Linked DNA regions of Oryzias latipes. The protein of the gene in region 1 purifies or fractionates together with the protein of each later gene. This does not show direct contact. Links are inferred from orthologs where the notes say so. Each region holds a gene or a part of one and is shown on either strand. Other genes may lie near its edges.

Evidence for each region.
Region 2: the proteins of rad23b (region 1) and psmc2 purify together in Homo sapiens (affinity purification with mass spectrometry; 6 studies listed by BioGRID and IntAct, with this or other methods). This does not show direct contact. The link is inferred for Oryzias latipes from reciprocal best matches to the Homo sapiens genes RAD23B and PSMC2.

What each region holds. Positions count from the first base shown.
Region 1 is NC_019870.2:9,286,778-9,296,875, reverse strand, and holds rad23b (UV excision repair protein RAD23 homolog B), read right to left. Parts: upstream 6,217-10,098; 5' UTR 6,072-6,216; coding exon 6,006-6,071; intron 5,515-6,005; coding exon 5,433-5,514; intron 3,841-5,432; coding exon 3,761-3,840; intron 2,769-3,760; coding exon 2,569-2,768; intron 2,496-2,568; coding exon 2,446-2,495; intron 2,373-2,445; coding exon 2,245-2,372; intron 2,151-2,244; coding exon 2,018-2,150; intron 1,934-2,017; coding exon 1,806-1,933; intron 897-1,805; coding exon 690-896; intron 513-689; coding exon 399-512; 3' UTR 168-398; downstream 1-167. UniProt on the Homo sapiens protein: Multiubiquitin chain receptor involved in modulation of proteasomal degradation. Binds to polyubiquitin chains.
Region 2 is NC_019881.2:9,538,183-9,548,280, reverse strand, and holds psmc2 (26S proteasome regulatory subunit 7), read left to right. Parts: upstream 1-3,672; 5' UTR 3,673-3,786; coding exon 3,787-3,856; intron 3,857-4,150; coding exon 4,151-4,188; intron 4,189-4,329; coding exon 4,330-4,411; intron 4,412-5,314; coding exon 5,315-5,414; intron 5,415-5,521; coding exon 5,522-5,653; intron 5,654-5,733; coding exon 5,734-5,806; intron 5,807-6,575; coding exon 6,576-6,671; intron 6,672-6,759; coding exon 6,760-6,924; intron 6,925-6,996; coding exon 6,997-7,084; intron 7,085-7,758; coding exon 7,759-7,961; intron 7,962-8,037; coding exon 8,038-8,134; intron 8,135-8,355; coding exon 8,356-8,513; 3' UTR 8,514-8,590; downstream 8,591-10,098. Other genes in the region: dnajc2 (dnaJ homolog subfamily C member 2), read right to left, coding at 493-683, 3,284-3,344; slc26a5 (prestin), read right to left, coding at 9,095-9,240, 9,880-9,934, 10,037-10,098.

The sequences.
Region 1 (10,098 bases):
TAAGTGTCCAGGTGTCAACAGCAGCCCAAAAAAGTAAAATAAATAAATAAATAAGGCCTTTAGGTTCTCCCGGATTACGATGAAGTGGATTTGGGGAAAAAAAAGATCCCAAAACAAAATCTTCAGGTTTCAACCCTTCTCGTGTGTGAAATGAACAGGAATGCAGATGAACTGGGACACCAGATCGAGCGTCTTTTAATCATTCATTCATTTGAAGATGCTAACAGAACATCCATCATCACATCTGATGGTGAGCGCGTCTCATCAGGAACACTGGATGTAGAAGTGCAGAGGAAAACACTTTTAGGAGCTAAAAGGCTTCTTTTTTTTTTTGCAAGTTTGTAGTGAACATCAGAGAGAAATTGAAGGAAGAAAAATATGAAAAAGAAAAGTTTGTTTTAATCGTCGTCAAAGTTCTGCTGTAGAAGGAAGTTGGCCGCCAAGTTCTCGTTCTTCTCGCATGCAAAGTAGGCCTGAATGACGAGTCCCTCAGGAAATCCCAGGGCTTTCAGCTGCAAAACCGAAACAGAAACAGAATTCTCCGCTTACCATCACTGCAGGAGAGTCGGGAAACATTTAAACCTGCGCTGAACCTTCAGCAAAAAAAGAAAAAAACTCCTGATATTTGGTGAGACTTATGATCTAAAGTGGGTCAACGTTACCAATCACAGAACTATTCTCCGCCTCACCCTCTCGATGGCCTCCTTCTCCTGCGGTGTGACCTGGATGTAGCTCATCTGACTTTCTCCGGAAGTGTCAGCTCCTGTGCCTCCAGCCCCCCTCGCTCCTCCTCCTCCACCACCACCGCCACCTCCTCCTCCTCCTCCTCCTGGCACTGGATCAGGATTTGGCTCATTCAGCATCTGGATAAACTGCTCCTGGTGGTTGCTGATCTCCTGCAGAAGCAAATGACAGACTCGAAGAATGGAGCATCAAAAATCCGATAGAGACTAAAAATGATTTGACATAATATGAGTTAAACAGTTCTGCTGCAGATTCTCATGGAAGCTTCACAATAAAAGCTTTAAAAACATTTTATTATGATTAGTCTGTGTTCATTCATACCACATCGCTGTCATTGAAGCCACTTTAAAGCAAGTCATGCGTTTTAAATAAAGTTTTTCTATGAAAAAAAACTGCCTTTTCTCATTTTGTTTATTCTATTTATTCCAGAGGGGTTTTTTTTAGCATCAGAGTGTGAGGATTGGAATGAATGTATATCTATCCACACATACATCTAACTTAGAATTATTAGTCATCAATTGATTGGAAAATAAAAGAATTAAAATGTAATAGATTTGTGCATGCAGATGAAGAAGGCATCAGCAGACGCTTTTTTCCCAGGATGAGGTCAGAGGCTGCTATGGCTTCAACTGGCCACCAGATGTCGCCATTTTTCGTTGCATTGAAACCTTAAAATCAGATTTCTGAGAAAAAAACAATTCCTGTTTTTTTGTTTTCTGATACACATTTTTATGTTTGTTCTTCTTAATGTTCTTGTTTTTCATCCTCTTCTTCTGTGGTTCTCCGTCTGGTGCGACGTTTTCATAGTATTTCCTTTAGCAACTATGTTAGTAATGCTAGCGAGTTGCTTCACTGAAAATGGGAACCAAGGGAGAATTCGACAAATTTACAGATGGTTTCCCTCCTAAAATAGCTTCTTTTTTTCTTTTCTTCACATTGTGTTTCTTTTCTTTGCTTTGTTTTTCTGTTTTTAAACTTAGCCAGATGTTCCTGAACATTCCTGTTCATGGAAGCCTGCTTTGTTGGATTTGTTGTTGGGCTGGTGGAGGTCTGCTCCTCACCTGCAGCAGCTCCGGGTTCTCTCTGCCGATCTCCTGCAGGAGCGCTGGGAGCAGCGCGGCGTTCTGCTGGATCAGCTGCCGCATGACGTGGAACTGAGGCTGGTTTCTGAGGAAGCCCAGAGGATTTCCTGATGGTCCAGAAAGTGGAAGCAAATATTGCTTTTATTAGGGCGTCAAAAGAAAGGAAAAAAAAAGAAATGTGGTTGTCGTACCCCCTCCTGCACTCGGTGAGGACTCGGTGCTGGTGGGAGCGGCGGTGCCCCCTGCAGGCGCAGCTGGAGATTCGCTCACTGCAGGCGTGGAATCGGGTCCGGTTCTGGAGCCTTGATCTTGACCCGGGATACCCTAGGGGTGACACCGACAATAACTCCACCTTTTCGTGTGGAAGACAGCACCCTGGCTTTGGATTGGCTGTGGGAGGGTTGGGGGCGTGTCTTACAGAGAGCAGGTACTCCACGGCTCTGTCGGGGTTGTTGTAGCTGGCCCTCAGAGCGGCCACCACCTGCTCCCTCTCATAGCCCATCAGCATCATCTCGTTCACCATGGTGTCGTAGGACGAACCCGTCACTGGGAAGACAAACCAACAGTTTAAACGGCCAGTTCACCTCTCAGCTCGCCGCCCACACCGCAGCAGGCTCACCCAGAGTGGAAACGGCTTCGCTGAGCAGGTCTGTCGAAGACTCTGAGCTCCTGAAAGAGGATCAAACAGCGGTGAGGTCGGATGCCTCAGAGCGAGAACCACAAACACGGAGGCGCCTTTTACCTGGCGGGAGGCGGCGGTGGCGGCGGCTCGGCTGTGGAAGACTCTTTCTCTTCCAGCTTGTCAGCAGGTGCTACTTCTGCAGGTTTGTCTGCAACAGATGGTGGGGTGGGGGCCGCTGCAGCAGCCGCAGAGCTGGGAGCCGATGAAGGAGCTGATGAAGAGGCTGACGAAGACTTTGGGCTGGGCGCAGCAGTTTTAGGCTACAAAATAAAAGCATGTTCCCCAAACTTTGTGAGGTAAAATGGTACTTTAAATGTTTGATGACTTTTTGAAACTCCTAAATTCGGGTTTGTTTTAATCAAAAACAGTTTAAAGATCATGTAACATTTGCTTTAGGAAGCAGCAACAAAACCCTTTTATCCCTTGACAAAGTTTCAAAATAAAACCAATCTGCATTCTTGCTTATTTTTGTCTGAATAATAATGAGAACTTAATGGTTTTTCATAAACTTGCTGTGCAGCCTCAAACATTTTATTGATATTAAATTTCTTCCCATCCTTTTTGCATTATTGTGTTTAGAATAAAGATTTAAACTTGTCTTTTGGCAGCTAAAATAAAGTTGTCGCCTTTTCTTTTTTTTTTGTAGCGGTGGGTGCTGCCCTCCCACATCCCCTCAGCAGCAAAGGAAAAAAACGGCTGCTCTGCATCGAGATTCGCTATAAGTTACAATCACGATTGGAACAAAAAAACACACACACAATACCGCTAAATGAGACTCCATCCTAAAACAGGAAGTGAATTTTGTTTCTTTTAACAGATCTGAAATCTGTTAGCATCTGTCCGCATGAAAGCACAGCAGCTAAAACAAAAAAATGATCTTAAAAAACAAAAGTTTGAATCTCCAAATTGTATTCCTCCCCTTCAATTCCACCCGCCAAAATAAAAGCATAGAGGAACTTCTAAACAAGTGTGATGACATAAGACCACCTCTGCTTTTAGTGAAATTATTCCAATCTTTGATATTTTAGGGGGTGAATTAAAGAAAGTTGCTTTTGTGGAGGTTTTAGGAGCTCAGCATCAGACAGGTGTGCAGCCCCGCACACCAGCAGAGGCGGTTGACACTCAGACACGGTGTGAAAAAAAAGAGGAGAAAGTCACCAAAGGGATTCGCTTACGAATAAAGGAACAAAACGGAGGGATATAAAGGTTCCAAGCAAGCTTGCAATTCACCAGCGGTTTGTAATTCACCGACCTTTGTCACCATGACGACCACAAAGTTCTTCTCATCGATTTTGTATTCTTTGAGGGCCGTGTCGTCGCTGAGGATTTTTCCTGGAAAGAAGCAGAAAAGGATTTCTGAGGGATGGACGACATCCGTCTGGGTTTTACTCGCTCTGAAAACTAGAAAACGAGGATCTGTGCCGGTCACACAAATGATGGTCATTTACACAAAATCTGTTTTTAAAAGTTAATTTCTAAGCATTTATCTTTATTCTCAACCAAAATCTTTTGTTGACTCCTATTTTTCATGATATTCACTTCAACTGCAGCGCTCTACCCATTAAAGCAGAAAAGCATAAACACATCTGTCAATCATTGACTTAAAAAAACCCATAATAATCCGGCATAAAGCAGTAAATTGAAGCCCAGTCCCGTTCTGTTGATGATTTGGATCAAATGAGGCTGAAAAACAAGCAACTACTGAGCCACAAATGCATCAATCGAATCAAGAAAGTTCTTTTAAAAGCATAAGAAGCTACAGAAGTGGTTCGCTAACCTCCATCTGTCTTCTCACCAATGAATCATGGGAAAACTGTATTTTTTGGAAAGGATTGGTGTGGAAGCTTTACGTTTTGGTGCTTTTTTTGTGCTCATGTGAGCTCTAAAGGTGACACAATGATTTCTGTACTCAACTTGGAGTCCAAATGTGCACAGACGCGCAAGCCTGTTTCCCATTGTCGATCCCCATCAGTTAGGGGGGGAGGGGGCTGTGTGTAGGTCTGGGGAGGGGGTTCTATTTTAATTTTCGTGCTTGTTTTTATATTATTTATTTGGTTTTTCTTTAATGTAAAGCACTTGTAGGAAAAGCACTTTCTAAATAATGTTCGATTTGATTCAATGCTTCCTGGGTGAAGCTGATTTGAACATAGAATTTGCCGGACCCGGGTTAGCCTAACATAGGATCCAGTTGGATCCCTTCACCCTGATGTAAAACATAAAGTGCAGGTATCTAGCGATTTTATTTTATTCTGAAGTCAAAACTAAACTATGTTTGTAACGACAGTCAGAATTTTAACACTTTTTTGCCCACATTGACAAAAAAACTATTCTTCTAGAATACAAACAGAAGCAGCAGACATCGTCATCGCCTTAAATCAATCATTTTACATAACGTCAGCAATCAATTTGTAGTCTTTTTAAAGTTTCTTTTCAGCGTCTTTGAGGCTGTAACATGCATGTCAAAATAAAAGCACAGTTCGCTTTAAGACACATTTAAAATATTGAGGAACAGAACCTAAAATAACTATTTTATGGGTTTTGGTGAAACTTTATGTACCAAAAAGTACTTGTGTGTCAACAAAAGTGTGTTTGCAGCGTATCATCATTCTTGTGGTCACTATTAAACAACACAGCAAAGAAATACATAATTTAAGACAAATGACATCAAATTAAATGCATTTTTAAATATTTTAGGCTGAAAATTCTAGATTTCTGGACTTTATAGACCCGACAGTTTAAGATCTGAAGCAATTTTGTGTCAAATATGCAGAGAAATATACAAAAAAAACTTTTAGGCAAATCAAAGAGTACAGATCTTTCCGGATCTTAACCTGCCAGGACTATGGATGCAAACTGATCAGAACCGGTCTAAACATCACGTGAGTACTCAGAGGAAGAAAGAGGCAGGGAGGGACCCATCATACCGGCGTAGATCAGCTTCTGCCCGGCCACTGAAAAGCTCTCCTTCCCCTTTTCCTGCTCAATCCTCTCCTTTAACGTCTTCACCTGCAGAAGAAACAACAACACTGACAACAATGACTAGCAGTAAACAACAATACACACAGTGAGATGACTCAGCACTTCTGGAGCCATAAGGTCCAAGTTTCTGTTGTTAAGAAGGAAACCTCCTCTAAAATCTAGCTACAGACATCAACCATTGAATCTTAGCTGTTAGCAACAGATTTAGAGGAATAACGCGCATGTCCTTAAAGTTTATCGAAAGTAAAAGTTCGGAGTAAAAGATCTCTGTCATAAATGTTTAGGAACAGTGCGAAGGCTGGCGTGTAAATAGAAACAACTTTACTATCGTCATTACATTTAAGCACAGACAACAACATTTTGCCTGAGTTTTTGTATGTTATTTTAAATCAAAAGAGTATTATTTTGCTAGCGTAATGACTCTAGTCAATATGTTTTTAACAAAAACAAACAAAAAAACATTTACTGCTGTTTTAGTTGCTCCACATAAACAACTCCCGCTCGCGCATATTTCTCACCGTTTCTTCCTCATCGATGTCGATTTTGAAGGTCTGCTGTTGCAAAGTCTTTAAAGTTATCAGCATGTTGTAGGTCGGTTTACTTCTGGCTCCAATTTTAAAAAAATCTGTAAATCTAACTTGAAAGAAATCGCTTTTTTCCGTTGGCTCATTACAAACTGTCAGCCGCCATGATTTTTCGGTTCTCTTCTTCTGTGGCGGTAAAACCGGGTAACCCCCCCCCCTCATGAAAAAACACACTAGCGCCCCTGGTGGCTACACGTTGAACTTAATCAAATAATCTGCTGGACAATAAATCCAAATCAGTTGGTCCCACCACGGTTAAATTGATTTGATTGTGGAGGATATTCTATATATATTTTTCTTCATTATATTCTATATGTTTTTTTCAATATATATACACATTTTCACATAAAAATTAATCAAAACAGAATGTTATTTTTTCCTAACACTCTGAATAAGTAAGTAATACTGAAAAGTAATACCACAGATTTCATGTCATTTAAACATTAAACACACAGCTGTTTAAACAAAATTAAATTAAATAGGATTTAAAAAGTAAAATAGCATAACAATAACAATAAAAAAAATATATACAGCACAAATATTGGAGCAAATAATTAGCACTTTGACACTAAATTATTTTTTAAATTCACGTATTAAATGGTGTAGGCTGCACAATTGTATAGTGGTTAGCACTCTTGCCCCACTGGGAGAGGTTCAAATCCCTGCTGGAACCTTGCTGTGTGGATTTTGTATGTTCTCCCTGTGCATACACAGGTTTCCTCTTGGAAACCTACCGTGCCTCAATCCAAATGGTATTTGCAAATATCGAAATAATCAATTTAGTTATTTTTAAAATGATTCTATAATTTGAATAACAACTTGGCTCAAACCGATTGATCTGGTAGGTCGTGGGAATAAAAATTGATTCATGGCTTAAGCCGATTAATCTATACGCCCCTAAACGCAACCCACAGTGTTGTAAACAAATGTTTAGGAAACATTTGGTGGATCATAAAGTTATGGTGCTTATCATCACACTGTGAGATTTAACCCTTGTGCTATCTTAGATGACCCCACCCTTACATTGACGTGTTCTCCCTACCATGACAAAGGTGGATAAAGGTGGAAAGATTTCATGTAATCCATGGACACCAGTGAAGATCACAAATCACTGAAGAAAAAAGGTTCAGAGCACTGTCTAGTGGGTCTAGATGACCCAACTCCCAATAGTAAAGTGCCTAGGATAGCACAAGGGTTACAGGTGTTGTCTACGTTATTCGTGAGCCTCCATGGGAGGCTAAGACACAGGAGTGTGATGGAGGCCTGGATCCCCCCACCCACCCACTACCACCACCCACAGGATCTGCAGCTCTTGTCGAGGAGCGTGACGCCAGGAGAAACCTTGAGAAGTCTCGTCTACGGCCCAATAAGTCTGAGCTATTTTTGTAACATGAGAGGAGCTCCAAATCAGGAAGGTGGTTTTGATGTTGTGCCTGAGTAGAAATCTTTTTTTTTTTACTTTAAGACAACAAGAAATTCTGTTGAAGGGTTGCATCAAACAGCCAGATCTTTGCTGCTTTGACTCATTGAGGCCTTCAGAAAGACATTTTGCTTCCTTCTCTGCACCCCCTCTTTCATCTTTGGCTCTCGCTCCATCCCCTCATCTTTAGAGCAGCTTTGCCCACACCGGCCTTGGCCCGGGCTCTCATCAGACATTCCTCACGTAGCTCCCCTCTGGAGCGGCGCTGTCCTCCTCTCCCCTCCCTCGTCACCGTGACTGCGCCTCTCGCTTCTGTCTCCAGGCGTCGTCAGCATGCCACCGGCCCCCTCTGATGCAGTGAGCCGCAGAGATTACAATCTGATCCCTGGTGACTTGGAGATATTTTTAAGAGATGATGTTAGACAAGTGAAATAAAGACTGAGCACAGCTAAAGACGACAGCAGAGGAAGTGTGGAGGATGGAGGCTTTTGGAAAAGCCGGCAGTCGTTGAAGACTGGCTGATGAGGCTGCGGGTTTGTGTGAAAGGAGCTGCGATTTCTGGTCAGCAGAGCTTCTGCAGGGTTTGGAGTGGAGTGCAGAGAAAACGGAGGGGTGTAGCAGACAGTGAAGGTCACAGGGGTGCCTTCTCAGCTCAAAGCTATTTCCTGCTAACAAGAAGGTGCAGAGACTGTTACCGATTTGAACAGATGCTCTGCAGTCACTTGTGCAGGAATTCATTCTGTGAAAACTTGTGACAGAGCATCATCTCAGCTCTGCATCTACAAGGTCCAAAATGTCCCTGATCTTCATCCGAAAACACCAGGATTATGACTTTATGCAATCATTGCTGGCATATGACAGTGTCTGAAGGCAGACACTAACATGAGTCAGCAGATTCTCTCAAGAAAAACCCTAAGGGGCAGCTGAGGGTTACTCAAAGGGCAACTAAAATCTTATTAAAGACCCTCTCCAATGAAATAGGCATTTTTAACATGTTTTGTGGAATTTTTTTAAGGATTGAGTACATATATAAAGAAAAAAAAGAGCTCAAAGTATATCTTTATTCAAATCGTTGGGATTCAGGATCAGAGGAAAAAATGCCGTTGGAAAAATCCTGTAGCAGCGACGCAGGAGCTACAGTGGACACAAGCATCCACTTCCAGATACACAGATCCATGGATTTCCTCGTCTGAGCTGGCATCTGGAACAAAATTGTACATCTGGAAAGCTCCCACATTTTTGTTACCGTTAAAGTTAGCTTGGGATTGGAAAAGAGGTTTTCCTCAGGGGATTTTTAAAAATGGCAGAAAATCAATAAGTGGATTTATAATTGCTTTGGTCAAAGAATAGGATTTTAAAATAAAATAAAAGCTTTTTTTTTTAACCCAAGAGTTTTTTCTAATGTGTTAAATATTCTTATCACCACAGTGGACATCAATATCAATATATATATATATATATATATATATATATATATATATATATATATATATATATATATATATATATATATATATATATATATATATATATATATTTAAATAGTTTTTTCCGTATTTCTTTAATATTTAACTTTATGATATTCTTTCTTTGCAGAACTTTGGTGACCTGCTGTCTGTAAAAATGATCAGATATACAATTTGTTTGGGAGTTTTGCTCTTTTTGCAGTTTGAGAAAACGCTAAAAGATATGAAAAAAATGCACCTGTTAATTTTTAATAAGTCCAAATCCGATGATTCTTTAGTCTATCTCACAATTAGTCTATTCTTTTACTCAAATATACAATAGTTTGATGTTTACATTAGAAAAGCGGTTGCACGGTGGCGCAGTGGTTAGCGCTCTTGCCTCACAGCAAGAAGGCCCCCGGTTCAAGTCCCGGCTGGGGGACATGAAAAACAGAACATCAGTGGGGGACCTTTCTGTGTGGAGTTTGCATGTTCTCCCCGTGCATGCGTGGGTTCTCTCCGGGGTCTCCGGCTTCCTCCCACCATCCAAAAACATGCTTCATAGGTTAATTGGCAACTCTAAATTGACCATAGGTGTGAGTGCGGGAGTGAATGGGTGTGTGTGTGAGTGAGGACATTCTACCCTGCAACAAACTGGCGACTTGTTCAGGGTGTCCCCCCTGCCTTTGCCCACAAGTGGCCGGGATAGGCTCCGGCAGCCCCGTGACCCCGAAAGGGATAAAACGGTTAAGAAAATGAATGAATGACATTAGAAAAGCTACACAAACATTTGTGCAGATAAGGACCCAATACTCTGTTATCTGATAACTTTATTATCAAGTTAAAAAAAGACAATGAATTACAATATTTACAGAATATCCAGAGATAAATGGAATAAAATTGTAAACAATCATTCTAGGCAACATCACAACCCACCATCAGATTTATATGGGAAAAAAGGCAAGAAGGAGAAATCCTAGTTTCCAACTATGGAGACAACAGTCTGAAAGGAGAAATGCATCAGAAACCAACTAAACATATATACAAGTATCCAGTGTTTTCAGCAGGGGCTTCACTTTGGGTAAACTGGGAAGATTTACAGCCCAGAGGCTGCACACAGTGAGGGGATTCAGAGTCATTTTTCCATTCAAATAACCACACA
Region 2 (10,098 bases), on another chromosome or scaffold:
CAAGCACAAGTCTGAAATGACCTTTTGGGCCTGCTCTCATCAAGCCGCCTGGCCGGTCAGACGGCGGTCGCAATTGAAAAGATCGGATACGTTTCGGAATCAGGACGGCATACCCAAGTGGCCTGGGTCGCAATTGAAAAGATCGGATCTGTGTCGTTCAGACTGTCTTGAAAAGATCGGAATTGTGTTGCATAGGGGCAAAAAAATTGGAATTGGGTCGTTTCAGCCTGCAGTGTGAACGTAGCCCCAGATCTTCGCTGACAATATTCCACATTCTTCTAACCAATATATACTCCACCTGTTACAAAAGGGCTTTGGTTTAACTGTTAAGATTTTTAACCACATAAAAACATGTTTACAAACTTGTTTGGAGCTGGCTGGCAGGGCGTTTTTTTTTTCATGTTATGAAGCTGGGCCAAACCGAGTGGTGCTTCATCTAATAAAATAAACTGTGAGAAAATGTAAATTTATTTATAAACACATCACTGATACCTTCCAGTCTTTGGGGTCGAGCGTTCGCAGCATGGGATGCTCCTCCAGCAGAAGCTCCTCATCTTCCGACTCCTCTGAAGACTCCTCTTCATCCTCCAACTCCTGGAAGGAAGCCGACACATTCCTGTTTCTTCTCCTTAGATACGCTTCAAACCATCGACCCACCGGCTCCACCTGAACAAGGACAGAAGCTGTGGGTCGAAAGACAGCTGTTAATGCTCCGCATCACATGAGTGAAAACTGCTTTTTTTTTTTTAAATAATTTCCAGCCTACAGAAAAACCACACATTGTATAAGAGAAGTGAGCACCCCCCCCTCCCCCCCGGCTTGCTCTGGGGGTGGGTGGTGTGGGGCCTGGGGGGGTCGGCGCTTCGGGGAATGGGACCCCGGGGCTGTTTGACTACCAGCGGACAGTCTACTAGCTCTCCCCGACTTATCCTACACACCTTTTACCCCTCAAACTATACACTCCAACACACACACATACATGCACACACACCCTCACAAACACACACACATACATTTCACAAGGAAGGTGGGACCTTGGACTATCTGACCCCTACCCCATCCCTGGAGGGGGGTACGAGGCCCTCAGTGACGGCAGCCGTGTCCCTTGGGTGCTGGCTTCCTGGGCCCGGCAACCCTCTCTCCACGCAGGGAGAGGGATCCCTGAGTTCTCTGGCAAGACCTAAAGCCGGGGATCGCAAAAATTCCAACTGCAGGTGAGCCTGGTCGGGCCATGTTTACAACACTCCTTGTGGACCCCCACTTCTCTAGGGCGTCCAACCGTGGGCGAGGTGGATGGCTGCCTGGAGCGTGGGCCGGGTCTTCCTTGGCGGACCCTGGCTCGTCCCTGGGGTTGGGGCAGGGGGAACTCCTGGGTGGTGGTGGGGTGCTCGTCTGGGGCAGTCTCTTCTGGTTGGGCTGGAGCTTGCACTCTCTGTCCCCTCATGCCTCCCTGCTCTTGGGCTTTGGGGAGGGGACCCCTGTGGCAGGAGCCTTGGTGTGGGAATTGTTGGGCATTCCCCCTTCTTTTTACATTGCATTATCCACTTTAGATGAACATAAACACTCACTCGAGCACAGGTGTTAGCTCATTTTTGCACAAATAGTTTGCGTGATTAAATGAATATTTCACACTAGGTGGTTTGTACTGTGTACATGTTGACATGTGGACATTTTTGGAGCCAGCAGATATGTTTATAACAATTGGGTGTGGACAGGCCCCGGCCCTTCTAGATTTGTATTATATTTGAACCTGACCATAATGATTATCACAATCCAGCAAGTAGTTGCTCTATGCTGTTTCATGACCCCCCCACCCCCACCCCCCAACATCCTTCTCCCTTCCTCCCTCCTTTTCTTTTCCATCCGGTCCAACACAAATTAAAAATGTTTTTTAAAATATGATTGAAATGAATAAGGTTTGGCCTAGATCACAATAGGGGACATACCTCTAGTTTGTCAAAAGATTTATAACCATTGTTGTTAAAATAAAATATGTCCCACACAAGGGGTATTCGGAAAAAAATTTCTGCTGGATTTGTACCTAGCTTTTTGATGGACAGACATAAAACTAATGAAGTACTCCCATAAAATGCTTCTCCTAATCCTTGTTCATGTGATTGCATCACTTTTTTGTGATATGGTACCACCTAGTTTTCTCTGTTCTCACCTGAATCCCATTGATGTCAGATCTGTTTTTCTACATTTCATGTTGACAAATGGTCAAGATTTTGGCTATACCATTCTTTCATTCATCTTCTGAACCCGTTTTGTCCCTTACGGTGTCACGTGGCTGCCGGAACCTATCCCAGCCACTCGTGGGCGAGGGCAGGGGACATCCTGGAAAGTTTGCCCGTCTGTCGCAGGGCCACAAATCACGCACCCATGCACATTCCTACCTAAGGACAATTTAGAGTCCCTTGCCTCAATTAACCTATCAACCATGTTTTGGACGGTCGGAGGAAGCCAGGGTCTCCGGAGAAAACCCATGCATGCATGGGGAAAACATGCAAACTCAACACAGAAAGGTCCCCATTGATGTTCTGTTTCAGGACATGAAAATTCATGCTGTGAGGAAAGAGCCCCAACCACTACACCACCATGCAATTTTTATAGTAATTTAGTGATCCTGCATAACAAAGATTAGAATGTAATCAAACACTACATCATCAGTCCTTCAAAAAAGTGCACTAATGCCTCTTTTTACTGGAGATTAATCTCTAACTTCAAACTTATTATTTTCCCAAAAAGTTAGTTGTAAAATATTTCAATTCGATTGTGACAACAAGGTCAAAAAAGTTATTCTGATTACAGTATCAAGTCCAACTGTGGTTCATTAGTGAAAAGTGTTATTCCAGAATCAGTAAGGTTTGCTAATATTATTACAGCTAATATGGTCACAGCAGTCTGGTTTACAGAGGATGTACTTTACATAATAAGCATTTTAATACCATATGGGACTTTACCATTTTAGAATTTGTAATTTTTTAAAAATCATTTAAATTTTTGGGTTAGCTAAAAATGTGTTACTTCAGAGGAGAATGGAAACTTGGATTAGGAATTCTACCCTTACCCCTTCAATGTTTAGAGCCCGTGAATTTGTGTGGCACTGTCAGATCATGCCACCAACAAGTCATCTAAATAATAATCCCAACGTTATAACTCACAACGTTTAAGAATTTAAACATTTGTTTGATTTCTTAAGCTTTTTTGAACAACTGCGTAAGAGTAGGTCCATAAAGACCGATATGATATTAGCTGCGACCCGGCGGCCTCCACTACTTACCGGCAACCGCCTTTAGCACCGCGGTCTCCTCGGTATTCTTTGCTTCTAGCAGCATCTTCATAACATAACCGTCTCAAACATACACTTCCCAGCGTTGGTAAAGTAGTCCGAAGTGCTAAAGTTTAAGGGTCGCTCATTGACGGACCACATGGGCCTCCTCCCGGTGTGCACGCAAATCGAAGGAGCTCAGTGACTTCTGAGTCGCTATTATAGTTCCGCCTTTTTGGTTCCGCCACAACTTCTTTGAGTAGCCCCTTTTTTCATACATACATACAAATAATAACGTTATATAGCGGAATTATTTTTTAGCAGTATATACATTGATCGAAACACCGAGGACTTTTTGAGAAAACTGTTTTTAGAGAGAGTGTCCCATCAATTCGAGTCCCTTCTGGACTTCCGGGTAGCGGCGGAAGTGTAAAGTTGCTGTGTAATCGCTCGGTCTGGCAGTAGAAATAGCCCAGCATACGTGACAAAAGCGTTCGTTTGTATCAACTTTAAACATGCCTGATTATTTGGGAGAAGATCAACGGAAAACCAAGGAAGAAGAAAAAGATGACGCACCCATTCGAGGTTTATACAAAACCAATATTATAATCTCAACAACAATACTGTCGGATGTCATGTCGACAAACAAGCTAATTGTCTCTTAGCTCTCGTTTTTTCCTCTATTTTAAAACAACGCAATAGTTTTAGGTTGTTCCAATGATGGCCCATTTTTTATTTTTAATCAAAAACAATGTGTTTATAGTGAACAGATAAAAATGTTTCTTATTTTTAACATGATGACCAGTGTTGTAGCAATCAATGCTAACTGCCGGCTGAAATAGCGAAGTCATATTCCTGTTTTTTATTTTTTTCTGGTAGCTTTGGATGAAGGCGACATCGCACTGCTCAAAACATACGTAAGTTTTTCTCAAAGTGGTCAAATTTCAGAGTTGTTTTTTTTTTTCTTTCTTAAATTATTTTATTTTAATTTTATTCATTTATTTTTAGTTTTATTCTAAACGTCAAATATTGACCAAAGTTTGTCGTGGCTTTGCCAGGGTCAAAGCACCTACTCCAGACAGATCAAACAGGTAGAGGATGACATTCAGCAGCTTCTCAAGAAGATCAACGAGCTTACAGGTGGGTGAACATGGAACCTGGTCATTCCCAGGTGTTTTACCAAATATTGAAATATCTTTATTGTCATTGTACATGTTCAACAAAATTACAGTGCAATTTTTCAGTAGAATAAAAAGGGCATAATAAATAAAAAGGTATTTAGGACAGGAAATAAACTACATCGATTTCATTAGATATACCCAGTGATTACATTTGATTTATTTTATGATCCAGTTAAGATATATCCTCTTCTTCTTTTCCTTTCGACCACAGCCAACCAACTTCCTCTGTCCATCCCTGTCTTCTGCATCCTCTCCTCTAACACCAGCTACATTCATGTCTTCCTTCCCTGCATCCTGAAACCCTCTCTTTGATCTTCTTCTTAACCTTTTGCCTGTCATCTCTAGACTCAGGATCCTTCTCCCAACAAATTCACTGTCTCTCCTCTGGACATGTCCCAATCATCTCAGTCTGACCTCTCTGACTTAAACTCCAAAACATCTAACATGTGCTGTTAATTACACAGGGCCTTATCTGTGTATAATTAATATTTGTTAATGGTTTAATTAATCATTGTAATTTTTAAATGAACATTTATTTCGTTCTTTATTTGTGAACATCATTTTGTTTATTTATTTGTTGTGTTTATTGTACTTTAAAGTCTCATTTAATAAAAAACAACAGTAGATACAGGTTTCCACCAGTCCTAGACAAAAAATGGACTTTGTCAACTTTATACCAACAATAATATTAAAACACATTAAACAAGTTTAATAGACGCACAAAATGTTCAACTAGTAGTTAAGATAAAAATGATAGAATATTTAGAGGAATAAAATAAGAAAGAGAACGATCTCTCAATAAAAACATTGTATGATATTTGCAACATAACATGCAGTTTATTTGTGATTTTGAATTTGTCAGGCATCAAAGAGTCTGACACAGGCTTGGCTCCACCGGCACTTTGGGATCTGGCTGCTGACAAACAGACTCTGCAGAGTGAGCAGCCTTTACAAGTGGCAAGGTAAAACAGCCTGCCTTTTTAGTTTTAAAGACCCTGTGTCACTTTTTTTAAAATTTCATTTAGTCTTTCTTCCTCTTCTAAAAATCTTTATGATAAATGTGTTTTAGATGCACTAAGATCATCAACGCAGACTCTGAAGACCCTAAATATATCATCAATGTCAAACAGTTTGCTAAGTTTGTGGTGGATTTGAGTGATCAGGTGGCTCCAACTGACATTGAGGAAGGCATGAGAGTTGGGTGAGTCTCATATGATCATGACATGTCAATCACAAGCCGATTTATATGTCTCTAGCACACATTTGTACTTGTTGTTGCAGGGTTGACAGGAACAAGTATCAGATCCATATTCCTTTACCTCCCAAGATTGACCCCACTGTAACTATGATGCAGGTACGCAGTGGCAGAGTTTGGATAAAAACATGTGTGCGCTTGATTGTTGTTTTATTCATGTTCCCAGAGTGGCTGAACAGAAATGCATGCAAAACATGGAACAAAATGCAAAGAACATTGGGCCATATTATACATATTTTTCTAAATATTTTGATGAACTTGTTCCCAACACTCCTCTGGAAAAATTAACATCATATTCAAAATTCATGACCTGTTCTTTAGTAGAGGAAAAAGTTCTTAGGTCAAAGCCATAAAGTGCATAAACACCAGAGTTGGACACACCCTCATGTGACCTATCCTTTTTGTTATGGCAAATTAGAAGCCAGTTAGCTATCTTTTTTTAAACACATTTGCCACTTGTTGCAGCTATCGTAAAGCTAACAGTTGGACTAGTTAAATTTACATATGAGAATTATATCAATAAAATATGAATCACTAGATGTTCAATCTAGCCACCGGAGTGACAAAAATGGTTTGATCCAAAATGTAATTTATTTTTGTTGTCAAGGTGGTTTGTTTCATAAATAAGATAGACTTGATATATAGGTACATTCTAAGCTCTTCTTATTTGTAAAGATTTTGTCCTTGTCAAAACGAATCAAAATAAAAAGTGTGAAAGAAATTCCAAAAGCCTAAAAAAAAGTGATTTAAAAGTGTTTTGTTGGTAAACAAGGCTAGTCTTCAGATAAAAGTGTACAGATTCATGGTTTTTCTTAAAGATCAAAGCAAAATGACTCATTTCTTAGTTTGTGCTAACTCTGTGGTGCAGGTGGAAGAGAAGCCTGATGTAACCTACAGTGATGTTGGTGGCTGCAAGGAGCAGATTGAGAAGCTGAGAGAAGTGGTTGAAACTCCACTGCTCCATGTGAGTTTTCAGCATCCAGATCACCTGCACTGTTTGGGGAAAATGAACACAGCTTCAGTCCTTTGTTCTCTCTTTTTTTTTTCATCAGCCTGAAAGGTTTGTCAGCCTGGGCATCGAGCCTCCTAAAGGTGTGCTTCTGTTCGGGCCACCTGGCACGGGGAAGACCCTGTGTGCCCGAGCCGTGGCCAACAGAACTGATGCCTGCTTCATTCGAGTCATCGGTTCTGAGTTGGTTCAAAAATATGTGGGAGAGGTGAGCTCGCTTGTGACGAAAGAGTATATTTTGCTTCCATCAACGTTCACGCCGTGTCGTCTGTAACCGCAGGGAGCCAGGATGGTTCGGGAGCTGTTTGAGATGGCAAGAACCAAAAAAGCTTGCCTGATCTTTTTTGATGAGATTGATGCCATTGGAGGTGAGATTGATGCGTTTATGACCTCACTGAGAGGCCTCATGCCATGTAGTCATGTGGTCGATGGTTCACGCTTCTTAAGGATGCTGATTGGTTAAAACCTTTACTTGAGCACAGATGGAGAAACGTGACATGTTTTGTTTGACGGCACATGTTTAAACTTCAAGGAAATGAAACAAAATGTATATATTTTAACATGTTTACCCTGTGTGTTAACCAGCTGATGTAATGCAATGTTGTAGCTAAAAGGAAATGTTATGTGCAGAAATGCAGTGTCCAGAAAATTTCATTCAAAGGAAACATTTTAAAAAGGATCCACATTATTCAGGGTTTGAAAATAAGATTTTTTTATCAAAATAGTAGTCCTTCCCAAATTTCTTTTTTGTTTCATGTTTTATTGCTCAATTGATCAAAAACTTTTTTATAGATCCATAATTTTACTGTATTTATGTCCAAAAACAACCACATTCCTCAGAGTGAGAAATCTTTCTGGAAGAACAGAATCTTTCAAATTACCTAAAGTGTTGTTTACCAAACTAGATGTTATTTTAGAAACATTGCTTCTGTGCAGGTCAGAGGTGAAGGAAGTTTTTGTCATCAGTCGTCCTGAAAGGAGAAGAGCTTTGTTTCTTACTGGCCTTTTAGCAAAAAAAGAAAATATGAAATCTTTCTCCCAGGTGCTCGTTTTGATGATGGGGCTGGGGGGGACAATGAGGTCCAGAGGACCATGCTTGAGCTTATCAACCAGCTGGATGGTTTCGACCCACGAGGCAACATCAAAGTGCTCATGGCCACCAATAGACCGGACACTTTGGACCCGGCTCTGATGAGACCTGGGCGCCTGGATAGGAAGATCGAGTTCAGCCTTCCTGACCTGGAAGTGAGTTTTCCTTACAGGGATACTCAGAAAAGTTGTTGGTAAAGTGTAATCACGGTCTGTTTTGTGCATCTTTTAGGGTCGCACTCATATTTTCAAGATCCACGCCCGCTCCATGAGTGTGGAAAGAGACATCCGCTTTGAGCTTCTGGCCCGTCTGTGCCCCAACAGCACTGGTAAGACCAAAGCTCCTTTACCTTCATTGTTCCCCACTTACTCATGGCTGTTTCTGTTGTAGGTTATAAACATAAAAAAGTTTTTTTTTTCTACTTTGTTCACCAAAGCTGAATTGTGGTCACAAGATTACAGTGTATTCAACACAATAGGCCTGTGTTGTTGGGAAAACTACTTTAAAAAGCAAATAACATTCTCTGTTTAAAACAATCTTTTCAATCAGGTGCTGAGATCCGCAGTGTGTGCACAGAGGCCGGCATGTTTGCCATCAGAGCTCGCAGGAAGATCGCTACAGAGAAGGACTTCCTGGAGGCTGTAAACAAGGTCATCAAATCCTACGCAAAGTTCAGCGCCACCCCCAGATACATGACATACAACTGAGGACTCCTGGTCTACTGCTAAAGAAACAGTCAATGCTTTTGTTGTCACCGAAAAATAAAGTTTATTCCACATTTAGATCTGAGTTCCTGAATAACATTTTCTCAAAAGGCATCTTGTGTTCTCCAGCAGCATTTTTAACAAAACTAAAATTAGTTTTTCAGACAAATGTTTTGACAAAAATAAAGTTTCACTTCATGTAACCAAGATTACAAACAGAGCTGTTTTAATTGTCCAGCCTCAGAACACCACTGCATAGAACCTAGATGAAGACATAATTGACCATAGCAATGAGCAGATACATTTCTTCCAGGAATGGCTCTTTCAAAAGCAGCTTGAAGTTTCTGCAGGGCAGTGAGAACCTGGAGCTTCAGATGCATTTCCAAGTCTTCAGATTCCTCTTTCAGCATGCTGGTCCCCATATTTCCAGTCTGATAAGGCTGCTGACTTTGGAAGAAGCATAATCTTTAATGGGCTACTGATGCTCGCTGTTCAATATGAACACAGTTGAGTTTTTCTGCTGTCAGCGAGCCCAATCACTGTCCTGGTTGAGGTGACTGAGGTGGTGATGGGGGAGTCTGCTCTTAAGTGAGTTTCTTTGCAGCACCATCTGTGCTGGACCTTGAGTGCTGGCAGTGCAGAACAGCATCATGGATGGTGGGGAAGAACAGGTGAGGGGTCAGATCCTCTGAGAAGAACTGCAGCATGTCCAGGTCAGCCAGCGTGCTCCCTTCAGGAACAGAAAACCAGTACATTTACTTGCAGTTACACTGACTGACCACTGCAATAAACTCATGGGACTAAGGCAGCAGAGAGCACTCTAGTGATTGGTACAGGCTTCATCCACAGGAACCTTTGCAGTAACTCTTGTGCTATCCTAGGCACTTTACCATTGGGAGTTGGGTCATCTAGACCCACTAGACAGTGCTCTGAACCTTTTTTCTTCAATGATTTGTGATCGTCACTGGTGTCCATGAATTACATGAAATCTTTCCACCTTTGTCATGGTAGGGAGAACACGTCAATGTAAGGGTGGGGTCATCTTAAGATAGCACAAGGGTTAAAGATCTGTGCAGTGTAGTGACCACTATGCACCAGAGGGTTAAACCCGCCTCCTCACACTTAAATTGATAAAACGTTATTATCTGGTAAATTTGGTCACCACAGACTTCACTTTTCTGTTATCAAGAAAGTGGTTTTCAACATTTCCTGAACTGCACTGAAACCACAGCTTGAGATCTTTATGATTATTTTTATAACACACATCTGCTCTAAGAACCGAGTTTGTAGCCCAGAGCCGCTAATTTTAACGTGTACGACTTTCAACAAGTTCTACGTCTTAAAAAAACGAGTCTTCATGACCACTTACTGTTACAGCTGGCAATGACCACCCGAACGTCCACAGCTGCATACTCCCTAATGACCTGCAGACAGGGCGAGTCTTTGGAGTGAAATCGACCAAACATGAAGTACCAAAGTGCAAGTCATCATGATACCCCGCCCCCTTTCAAAGAAAAGAGAAGAACCTGTTTGATGGCTTTAGCCCCCACAGAGTCTATGAAGCTGTTGGTGGTCCAGTCCAGGATGA